Linked DNA regions of Tribolium castaneum. The protein of the gene in region 1 interacts with the protein of each later gene in a pairwise test. Links are inferred from orthologs where the notes say so. Each region holds a gene or a part of one and is shown in the gene's direction. Other genes may lie near its edges.

Region 1 (4,186 bases):
TGCACAGGCCAAATATAAAGAATTTACACTAGGACGTGGTTTTTATAAAAGTGAAGCGATAATAGAATCTTTGAACAACGCATCTCCACTTTTTGGAGTGAAATGGACCACGGAGTAAGTTTTTGGAGGATTTTTTTTGGCTCAAAGTTTGTCGCTGGGATTTCTTATAAAAAAACTATCAATTTGTGTTTTTATTCGAGCTATCTAACTTCGATAAAAAATTAATAAAACAAAAATAAAATTGCTACAATTAATAATAATAATGTATCTTAATTGCGGATGAAAAATAAACTCAGATTCACAAATCTACGGATAATTTTCCTTGAGAAGAGCTGAAAATTAAGTTGTTTTCACTTTCAATTCCATCGAAAAAATTCCAAAAGTTAATTATTCATTGAAATTGAAGTTAACCAATTAACCTAAAATATCCACATTTTTTGACTAAACCATTGTCACTGTTAAAAACAGATAATGGCGGCAATGTTGCCAACTGTGCCACTTGCTTCTTCTCAAACAAACTTGGTAAAAATTTGCAATCGTTTATTTGAATTTTTTGAGTGAAATAAAGCACAAATTGAAAGAATAAGAAATAAAAAAAAAAAAGTTTAAACTAAATCCCAGCAACAAATTTTGAGCCCAGAAACTTTCCATTTCACTCTGAAAAATGCAAATGAGTTTAAATTTAATTAAATACAGGTTGCTAAAAATAAAAAAGAACGAAAGAGACAAACAGACCGTTGCATTTAGTTATTGTACAAAACACTATTAAATATTTTTTCAAAATTGTTTCAAAACTTCTACATACATTTTATTCACATCCACGAAATTCTCTTCAAAATTTCTCTCTGCGTCTTTTCAAAATTTGTCTCAATTATTTTTCAGCAATGTTTCTCTATTCTTCATTAAATTTTTCTTAAGATTTATTTTAAATTTTTTCTAGATCTAGGTAAGAATTTTAGAATTATTTTCTAGACAATACTAATTTAAAAAAAAAACATTTCTTATGCATGCTTCAAATTTTCTTTTAGAGTTTAAAAATCTTCTCTTGTTTCATTCAGAATTCTTCCACATTTTTTTTGTAGTATCATTTCTGCACTTTTTTTAAGTTTCTTATAAAAATCTTTTCTGATTTTTTATGAAGCCGTTTTTAGATGTAAAATCCATCTTTAGATTCTGTTTTAAATTGTTCTCCAAATTATTCACAATTAATTTATAAAGTTCTACGTTTCTTAAATTAGAATTAAGGTAAATACGACGATAGGCTCATTGTGTTTGCCCACTAGTAGAGAAAATCGGAAGCGATCAGAAAGGTTTGAAAGTGTTCTTTTAAGGTTGAAACGCACTGTACATTTAGAATGTCAGGGTTTAAACTGTAAAACTGAAAATTCTCCATCGGGGCTGACCGTGACATTTCCCAAATAAACATGGCGGCTTCCAGTGTCCGTGGTGTTTCTCGAGTTTTAGAAAAGTTAGAAAATTCCGTCAAAAATGGTAACTACTATGAAGCCCACCAGATGTACAGGACTTTATATTTTAGGTAATTTCGGCAGTTGCTCCTTTTCATGAATCAAAATTCCAGAATGTTCCACACCTAACCTCAACGTTTCAGGTACTTGGCCCAGAAAAAATACAAAGAAACTCTTGACATGCTCTACAATGGATCCCTTTTATTTCTCGAACACGATCAGGTGTTTGGTACCCAAATCTCTGGCATGTGTTATTATTAGCGAATTTGCAGCAAATCAGCGGTGCAGATTTAGCAATACTTTTAGTGGATGTTCTAGTCAAATCTGAGGAGAAAGACTACGACGGATGGACTCCAAAGTTGTGCAAAATCTTTTCAAGCATTAGTTCCACAACTCCCGAACGGGAGACGTTTCTAGCACAGGCCTTAAGGTGGTCTTCTAATCATCGAAGTTTTGGACACCCTTTCCTGCACCAGGTGGGTTTCCCCGAAATTTTGTTTCTTCTCTTCTAAAATAATTGTCAAAGTGTTGTCATGTTGGTATGAGTCACTAGTTATTTAATCGTTATAAAAATGGTAACGGAAAACTAACAAGTTAATTACCATTTCTTATTTTAACTGTATACATACAAAGTGGGTTTGTAAAAGGATAAAGTTTACTACAGGTGTACCAAAATAACGCGATTTAACCCAACTTGTGGCCCTATACCAGGTGGGGCAAATTCTGAATTTTATACTAAACTACGCGTATTCACTTCAGATAATTGTTTACGAAATTAACGAAAAAAATTCCAATCAGATTTTGAATTAAACGCACTTATACATTTTAACTTTAAAAATTATTTTTATTTATGAGCTGCTACTTGTGGCGTCGTAAATGTAATTGACAATGCGAACTGTAATTGGGGTAAAATTGTAAAAGATTTCGTGGGATATTTGAATACAGGCATCAGTTTTTGTCAATTTTATGGAATTACTGTAAATAAGGGGCTACAAAAAGGTCGGCTACTGGTAAGTGATCCCTTTGTTGGCAAATTATACCATCTTGTAATGAATCACACGTCTGGTTTGCGTTTAAATAAAAAAGCCCGATTATTTAACCAACTAAATAAAAATTTATAATTGTAAAATTTTAGGATTTTCATTCATTAGAAATTGCGAATTTTTTGGGTGCGCGATAAGGTTGTCTCACCTAGTACTAAGTTGCACCGTTTAAGTTAGGTGGCGCCAAAAAAAATATTTTTTTTTCTTTAATACGTTTACTGGAATAGTCGATATTTATTGTTTTGTGTTCTATTATTATTGTGAATTATTTACCTATCGTTAACACATTGAATAGAGATAGTTAAGTTTACGTGTCAAAATTTCAAAGTTTCGAAAATTATTATTTAACCATTTTAAATTTTAACAGACAGGACACTGCTCAAATTTTTAGATATTATTTTCAGTTTTTATGAGTACTATCAGTAGAGGTGAATTTTTTTTTATAGGAATTTAGTACCAGACAAAATGTTTGCATTTGTAAAATTTAAAATACGAGGACGAAAGAGAAATACAATTTGATGACGGACGTTATAAAAAAATCGTTATAAAATTAATAATAATTATAAAAATCGTTATGAAAAGTTAATTTAAAAGGCACTAATTCCAACAACTATTTTTAAAGTAAAAAAACCTGTTGAACTTTTTGAAACTACAAAACCGAAAAATAAGGCAATGATTGATTTACTTTTTGTTAACACTCGACAAATGGGACAAAAAATCTTATATATGAAAATAACTTAAAAAAGAATGGTTCAGACAGGTTTTAATTATTAAAGACTAACAATATCAAAGTTAGACATTGCAAACTAAAAATTATTGGTCTTTTTCACGATGAAAGAAATAACAACATTTATTTATTTGCAATAACGGACGGGATAGCAAATTTACAAAAATAAAAAAGTTATACATATTACGATTTCCATTTTCTAAACTACCAGAAACTAGAAAAAAACTCTTCAAAAATTATTCAACAGTTGTAGTACGTCACTTGTCAACAGTATTTAATGTTATCGCCTACAAGGCAATGTACCCAATGAATTATTTCAATTTAAATGATGTCCTCTCCCATTTTAAATCCACAAAAAATCTCTTGTTGCAAATTACATTAAATGTAAACCGAATCGTGTATTTTGAAAAAAACTTTACATACCAAAATTATTTTGAAAATTTTGGTCTCAGGTTGCGTTATTCCTAAAATAACTGTATTATTGTTTTCTAAACCTTTTTTTTACCGCTTACGTTAACAATGCTGTAACTAGTTATTAATTTAAACAAAAAAAAGCACAGTTGTGAATTTCTAAATACCGTTCAGTTTGTACCAAACAAATATTTAAAATAAATTAATAACTAAAATAACAATTTGTACTTACTAAAATCTAAGGAAATGGATTTTTTAAACCAAATAATAATTGGCGATCGTCCGAAATTTTAAGACGTCTACTTAAATATTTTTTTTTTCTTTTAAAAACAAAAAAAATTGTAAGATAAAAAAAACTAGTAACAATAATGGATTTTACGATTAAGAAAAGAATTAGCTTCTCGGAGAATGTATTATAAAGATATATCTCAAATGTGTAAAGTTGTTAATAAGTTACAGCTTTACAATAACAAAAAAATTAGCACCAAAACAGGTGGCTTTGATATTAAATAGTGTGTTGCAAATTTCATAAAAATCCA
Region 2 (2,986 bases), on another chromosome or scaffold:
AAAAACGGAAGCAAAAAAGTGTCCATGCACGAATTTAAAAGCGAGGCTGATCTCATCCGTATGAACAATAAAGCATTTCAGGAACTAGAAACTACAATTAAAACGGTTCAGATTGTTAAACCAAATGGAAAAACACAAAATGTTAAGAAGCAGGAGAAAAAAAGTGTGTCTAGTGAAAATTTGGCTTCGATTATGAAACAGCGGAATGATATTAAACGCGAAATGAAATCCGAGGCGTCTTCGCGAGCTGGAGGTGATGAGAAAATAAGCCGCAAAAATAAGCGTGATTTGCATACAGAAGTCAAGCAACTGCCTAAAGAAAAATGTAAAACGTTTTTGAAAACTTCGAGGATAAAATCGTTCGTGAAACCAAACCCCAGTAATCAACAAATGCGCCGTACGACGAAAAATGCGATGAAGAGGCAGCAAGTTTTGACAATTTTACCCAAAGTTGCGAAAGAAATTAAAGAGAAAAAAAAGCCGCAAGTTCGTTTGGTTGAACCCGGGGAAATAAAAACCGTGAAAATGAAAGACAGTTATTGCGTGTCCAAAAAGTCAAGTTACGTGAAATTTTCTAAAAAAATTTTGCCCAACAAAAAAATTAATCAGACGAGTTGGGAAGAAGAGGATGGTTACAAGGTTGCCTCAGTGGTGGAAGACTAATCTGTTTAAGTCTTGTCTTGTGTAAAAACGTGCAAGTGAAATAAATTGGGTTTTGATAAAACATATTATTTATTTTTTACATAATAAAAAACTTAAACCTATTTCACACTTAACAAATTTGCACAAAGTCCTTACAAGCCATTTGAGTTACTTTGCGACAGCGGTCGCCTAAACAGTAAAATGTGTGGCTCAGGAGTGTGCAACATGTAATGTACCCAATTGGGGCTTTGTTGTACCCCCAAATTGCGCCATTCTGTTTCGGTCATTAGGTGGGCCCGGGGCACGAGTTTGGCCAAATCGGCGGGTAAAATAACGTGCCGGTACTCGTAGTGCTCGTCGGAGTACTTCTCCGAGTACAAAATGTTATTTACCGGCATTTTTACGCTACAAAATGATTTGTTTTGATTGACATAACCTCAAAACCGGCATTGAAAACGTACCAGTGCTGTAAAATGCTAAAATAATGTGCTGCTACTCGAAGCAAGCAGTTAATGCACTTTTTTAAATTCGTTAAACTCGTCACTGGTGGTTCAAAATTATTGTTAAATGATAATTTAACGTTATTGTTTGAATTACGCGAAATGAACGAACGCCACTGGAATACAGAGTGGCCACCTCAACCACGTAGATAAAAAGAAAAAAACTAGAGTCGAGGTGTCAAGTTTGAGGTTAACTCAAAAAACAGAATCAACAATGTCAGATTTTGAGCCCCTGGAGCCCTCGTTAAAGAATGTGATCGACCAGACGACCCTAAAATGGATTTTCGTCGGTGGCAAAGGCGGTGTGGGCAAAACCACTTGTAGGCAAGTTCTGTCACGTCACGGCGAGTTCAATATGTAACCCCCTTTCCAGTTGTAGCTTAGCAGTCCAACTGTCGAAAGTCCGCGAGTCTGTACTAATCATATCAACCGACCCGGCCCACAATATATCGGACGCCTTTGACCAAAAGTTCACAAAAGTGCCAACTCTTGTAAAAGGCTTTAACAATTTGTACGCCATGGAAATAGACCCGAACGTGGGTTTTAACGAGCTCCCGGACGAGTACTTCGACGGGGAGCCTGAAGCAATGAGGATGAGCAAGGGCATCATCCAGGAAATAATAGGCGCCTTCCCGGGCATAGACGAGGCCATGAGCTACGCAGAAGTTATGAAGTTAATCAAAAGTATGAATTTCTCGACCGTGGTGTTCGATACGGCCCCCACAGGGCACACCTTACGGCTCCTGTCGTTCCCTCAAGTTGTTGAGAAAGGTTTAGGGAAGTTGCTACGATTAAAATTGAAGATTTCGCCACTTGTGTCACAAATTAGCGGCCTTTTGGGCATTCAGGACTTTAACGCTGACACTCTCTCCTCGAAAATGGAGGAAATGCTGTCGGTCATTAAACAAGTTAATGAGCAGTTCAAAAATCCTGACCAGACCACGTTTGTCTGCGTGTGCATCGCAGAATTTCTGTCGCTTTATGAAACCGAACGACTGGTCCAGGAACTAACCAAATGCAAAATCGACACTCACAACATTATCGTCAATCAATTGCTATTTAAAAAACCCGACGAAAATCCGTGCAAAATGTGTCTAGCAAGGTTCAAAATCCAGGAGAAATATCTCGATCAGATTAATGACTTGTATGAGGACTTCCACGTCACTAAATTACCCTTACTGGAGAAGGAAGTCAGGGGCGGGGACAACGTTAAGGCTTTTTCCGAGTATTTAATACACCCATACACCCTTAATTAACTTATGTAACTTATGTTTTTGTGTTGAAATGCTTTATTATGGTTTTTTAGGTGATTAATAAAAAAACAAAATACAAACAATTTATTACAAAAAAATTAAAGAGTCCTATTATCCCTCATATTGGGCCAATCGGGTAAGCGATTCTCCAAGAAATACTTCTCCCGTGTTAAGGCCTTCATGCCTAAGACTTCCGTTGCCCCATAAATGCCCCCACCCAACCACGCGGCATAATTTTCCTTACAGGGTGGACTATGAAACTTGAACGTCTTAATTCTCAATTTCTTGTACCTCTCATATTTCAGTTGTTTGTGTAACTCGTCTTTCAGTCTTGCTTTAAATCCGGGGGCCATGACACTACCCCCAATTAAGAGAATGTTTTCAGCGAGTTGGTTCCTCAAATGCATATCAACTTTTAGTATAGCATCAAGGATCATGGTAGAGAGGCTCAAATGGTCGTTATCTTCATCGTACAAAATTTCGTAAACCTTTTCGCGCACTTTTCCCGAGATTGTTATCATGTCGGAGCCCCCGATGGGGTACTTGACCTCGGGGGCAAAAGTGATGTCAGGTTTTGCCAAACTAAATTGT
Region 3 (4,001 bases), on another chromosome or scaffold:
ATTAATCATTGACCACATCACATGAACGAAATGACTTTTCGTTTTGAATTTTATGAGGTTGGTATCGGTAATGAGTCGTGGTTAGGGCAGGGTAGCCAACGCGAACAGCGGACAGGGCCGGGCTCAGGCAACTTTTATACAAAATATCCTTAATCTCTGTTCATCTAACAATCACCAAAAACATAAATTAATCGCACAACCAAAGTTACAAATAAAATAAAAAAATAATAGTGTTTATTCAATAAAACAAACACAGAAGAAAAATTCGACTTGACATTTTCCAAAGCACTCTTCGCAAAAATGATTTCTTGCATGTAAGATTCAATCATATCACGTGATGATACATCGTTGTCATCAGAAGTAAAAACACTTATAACAAATACGAAATGCAAATGTGGCATTCATAAGAATACCCAAAGTTGAGTGTTGCAACTCTGTAATCAAGAACGCCTTGGAAAAAATGACGAAGGATTTAGATTTTTTTGTAAAAATTGCCTGAAGAATGTTCTACTTTTTCTTTGGTATTTGCTTGTAAAAAAAAAAAAACAAAAATTAGAAATTTTTGTGTTATTTTTTTAGTAATTCAAAAAAAACGACACCAAATTTTTTTTAGATAATTGAACAGGCTGTAAAAACAGAGTAAAAAGTACTATATTTTGGCTTTAGTTTTTTAAAACTTTCCAAAGTATGGCAAAAAATGTCTCTCTGTTAATAAAAAGTGTTTATTTTTAAATATTTATATTTTTTTTCTTCTTTTCTGAATTAACTAATAAATGTTTTTTTCTTTTTTAAAGACTATGTCATAGGCAGAAAAGCCCAAAGTTAAGTACCCCGAGGCGGCAATGCACCTAAATACGTTACTATGTGGAATTATCAAGTATTTTTTATTTATTCAAGGAACAAAGATACCACGCGATCATCGGAATTTATAATTAGAATAGACGTTTTTTTTGTATATAATGTGTATATAATTGATAGACAGGTGCATTTAGTTCTTCAGCTTAATTAATTATTATAATCAGCGTTTTCTTGGTTTTCATACAAGATAAAAAGTACCTTATAAAGCCTACTAGAAAATAGGCATTTAATCCTTTAGGGCAGAAAGTCTAAGTACGGTTCTGTTATTTTTAGTGGGCCTTTTTAAAGAAAAAAAATAATTTGTATAATTCCTGGAAGATGTGTGCAATTTAGTGTTGTTTTTTGCACAAAAGCGGGCATTTCGAGGCTGTAAAAATCGAAAAAAAAAGGCCTAAGCCCGACACGTCACCAGACCGCAAGCCCAAAATTCCCTATGCAGCTGTCAAACTCTTCAAGTCCTTTTCTGTGAGAAATTGGACGAGCAATGGCTGCAGGAGTAAGTATTATCGAAATTTCCTCAAATATCTCGCATTTATGACACAATCATCGGCAGAAAACCGTTGAATAACCCAAATCCGGCATTATCTTTGACAGTTTTGTGTTTATTTTTTCAGACACTGTACACCTATCCCGACAATTTCCGTGCTGCTAAGGCTTTAATCGCTGCCCAGTACTCCAAAAGCAATGTTAAAGTAAGCCCAAACTTTGTGTTCGGTGAAACCAACAAGTCGAAAGAATTCTTAAAGAAATTTCCCAGTGGAAAGGTGAGTCTGGACGCGCTTCAAAATTGAGGTTAAGTCACACTGGACAGTTGTATAGGTGCCAGCTTTCGAGTCAAACGATGGCAAGTATCTGCAAGACAGCAACGCAATTGCTTACTACGTCGCCAATGAACAATTGAGAGGCAAGTCGGAGTACGAGAAAGCCCAGATTTTGCAATGGGTGGGCTTTGGAGAGTCGGAGATACTCCCAGCTGGCTGTGCCTGGGTGTTCCCCATTTTGGGGGTTGTCAAGAAGAACGCCGCCACTGAGGAGGTAAATTACGTATTTTCTCGCGTCCTCCTTCAAAGGCAAATTAACCAATCCGGTTGGTTGATTTGTAACTCAAGGAGGTATATTAAGACAATTACCCATTACTGAGTGTCTCGGTGGCGCTCAGTTAAGTTATATTATTGTAACAAGTGATTTTCGCCCAGTTTTGTCACTAGACTGACCCAGTTTTCGTGATTCTAGGGATATGCAAGAGCCAAGGAGGACATGAGGGCTGCTCTGGCAATCCTAGACAGCCATTTGCTTACCCGTACTTATCTAGTTGGGGAACGTATCACTTTAGCTGATATTGTTGTAGCTTGCAATCTTTCAAATTTATACAAATATGCGTTCGATCCCGACTTTAGAAAACCATTCGTCAACGTTAACAGATGGTTCACAACTTTAATCAACCAACCTCAGTTTAAGGCCGTTTTGGGCCAGGTGCAATTTTTGGACAAAGTTGCACAACCTTTCACCGGCGCGCAGGGAGGTGAAGGTAAGCCAAAGTTTTTTTAACGGTTCAAATGATCAGTATTTAATTCTTTTGCTGCATAAAATTCTATGAGTAAATGGTCTTGTTTATAATGTATACCGTACTATGGAGAGTTAAATACTAGGAAGCAAACGTCGGTACTAACTCGATTTCTGTTTCCTAACGTTAGTGTGTAATAGTTGTTTACCTAACGAGTTTGGAAAGTGCAAAAAGTCCGGGGACTTTTTTTATATTCCTAGACTTTTTTTGTCTTCAACAGTATTTCTAGTATTTTGATAAATATGCGACGGTGTTCAAAGCAATTATCGCAATAAATGTGTTGCATCCTAGTGTCCATATGCTGCACATAATGGATTAAGTACTGTTCAGTTTATTGCAACCTGTGTTAAATCCCTTAACCCAAAAATAATTTTACAAGCTGCTAATACTAACAGTATTGTTGCGGAGAAAAATAATAAAAAGAAGAGTAAGTTAAGTGTGGTTTTATTCGTCTTGCTTAGTTGCTTTTCCACCAACAGGTAAGAACAAAAAGAAAGAGGAGAAAAAAGAGAAGAAGCAGCAGCAGCAGCCTAAAAAGGAAACACCAAAAAAGGAGAAAGAGCCCGTTGAAGAAATGGATGCGGCTGAAGCAGCGCTCGCTGCCGAGCCCAAATCGAAGGACCCCTTTGAATCCATGCCCAAAGGGACGTTCAATATGGACGATTTCAAGAGATTTTATTCTAACGAAGATGAAGCCAAATCAATTCCGTATTTCTGGGAGAAGTTCGATCCTGAAAACTACACTATTTGGTACGGGGAATATAAGTACCCTGAAGAGCTCACTAAGATTTTTATGAGCTGCAATTTGATCACCGGAATGTATCAGAGATTGGATAAAATGCGCAAACAAGCCTTTGCCTCAGTTTGTCTTTTTGGTGAGGACAATAACAGTTCAATCTCCGGGATTTGGGTGTGGAGGGGCCACGACCTCGCATTCACTGTACGTTGATTCTGTGTTTTTAAAATTGGTTTGATTGAGTTTTGTAGTTGAGTCCTGACTGGCAAATCGACTACGAGTCGTATGATTGGAAGAAATTGGATGCAAAATCAGAAGAGACTAAAAAATTAGTTGCCCAATACTTCTCATGGACTGGCACTGACAAAAAGGGAAGGAAGTTTAACCAGGGCAAAATCTTTAAGTAAAACCTGAGGTGTAATATATTTTTTTTACAACCATGTCCTTTTGATAATTTAATTTAAATCCATCGTTTGTCAGTTGTTTAACCCTAACTGTTTTTCTTTCAATAAAACGCTTTGAGGATAATTTATGTTTTATTTGAATAAACCTATTACACTATAAGTCGGCTTCAAACTGATCGTCTCTGTTGAGGGGATCACCTTTCAACAAAGCCACAATCATGCTAAAAATAAACAAGTTGCGCAATGTTTGATATAAATAGACACAACTCACCAGTACAGATACGCAAAAAAGAACAGTAAATAATATCCTAAATAAATCATACAGTCCCTCATATGCTTCTTTAATTGACCTCTATTGTGAATCTCTGTGGGGTCATAGATCCCCAAATTTCCACTTGGCACTGATACTAACTCATACACCATCCAAAATGCCATTGGC

Evidence for each region. The genes of interacting proteins can lie anywhere in the genome.
Region 2: the proteins of Golgi to ER traffic protein 4 homolog (region 1) and ATPase ASNA1 homolog interact in binary tests that used the Homo sapiens proteins (3 or more experiments, as listed by UniProt). The link is inferred for Tribolium castaneum from reciprocal best matches to the Homo sapiens genes GET4 and GET3.
Region 3: the proteins of Golgi to ER traffic protein 4 homolog (region 1) and eEF1gamma interact in a two-hybrid assay, tested with the Homo sapiens proteins (2 studies listed by BioGRID and IntAct, with this or other methods). The link is inferred for Tribolium castaneum from reciprocal best matches to the Homo sapiens genes GET4 and EEF1G.

What each region holds. Positions count from the first base shown.
Region 1 is NC_087399.1:11,237,532-11,241,717, forward strand, and holds the start of Golgi to ER traffic protein 4 homolog, read left to right. Parts: upstream 1-1,379; 5' UTR 1,380-1,424; coding exon 1,425-1,537; exon of another isoform or gene 1,538-1,609; coding exon 1,610-1,688; intron 1,689-1,738; coding exon 1,739-1,942; intron 1,943-4,186. UniProt on the Homo sapiens protein: As part of a cytosolic protein quality control complex, the BAG6/BAT3 complex, maintains misfolded and hydrophobic patches-containing proteins in a soluble state and participates in their proper delivery to the endoplasmic reticulum or alternatively can promote their sorting to the proteasome where they undergo degradation.
Region 2 is NC_087402.1:8,577,431-8,580,416, reverse strand, and holds ATPase ASNA1 homolog, read left to right. Parts: upstream 1-1,330; 5' UTR 1,331-1,356; coding exon 1,357-1,466; intron 1,467-1,515; coding exon 1,516-2,398; 3' UTR 2,399-2,478; downstream 2,479-2,986. Other genes in the region: uncharacterized protein LOC103312779, read left to right, coding at 1-663; cyclin-dependent kinases regulatory subunit, read right to left, coding at 795-1,040; Arp10 (actin-related protein 10), read right to left, coding at 2,494-2,986.
Region 3 is NC_087402.1:7,326,692-7,330,692, reverse strand, and holds eEF1gamma (elongation factor 1-gamma), read left to right. Parts: upstream 1-1,193; 5' UTR 1,194-1,342; coding exon 1,343-1,354; intron 1,355-1,472; coding exon 1,473-1,622; intron 1,623-1,677; coding exon 1,678-1,893; intron 1,894-2,091; coding exon 2,092-2,386; intron 2,387-2,801; coding exon 2,802-2,849; intron 2,850-2,901; coding exon 2,902-3,362; intron 3,363-3,409; coding exon 3,410-3,565; 3' UTR 3,566-3,686; downstream 3,687-4,001. Other genes in the region: cnir (protein cornichon homolog 4), read right to left, coding at 3,717-3,783, 3,834-4,001. UniProt on the Homo sapiens protein: Probably plays a role in anchoring the complex to other cellular components.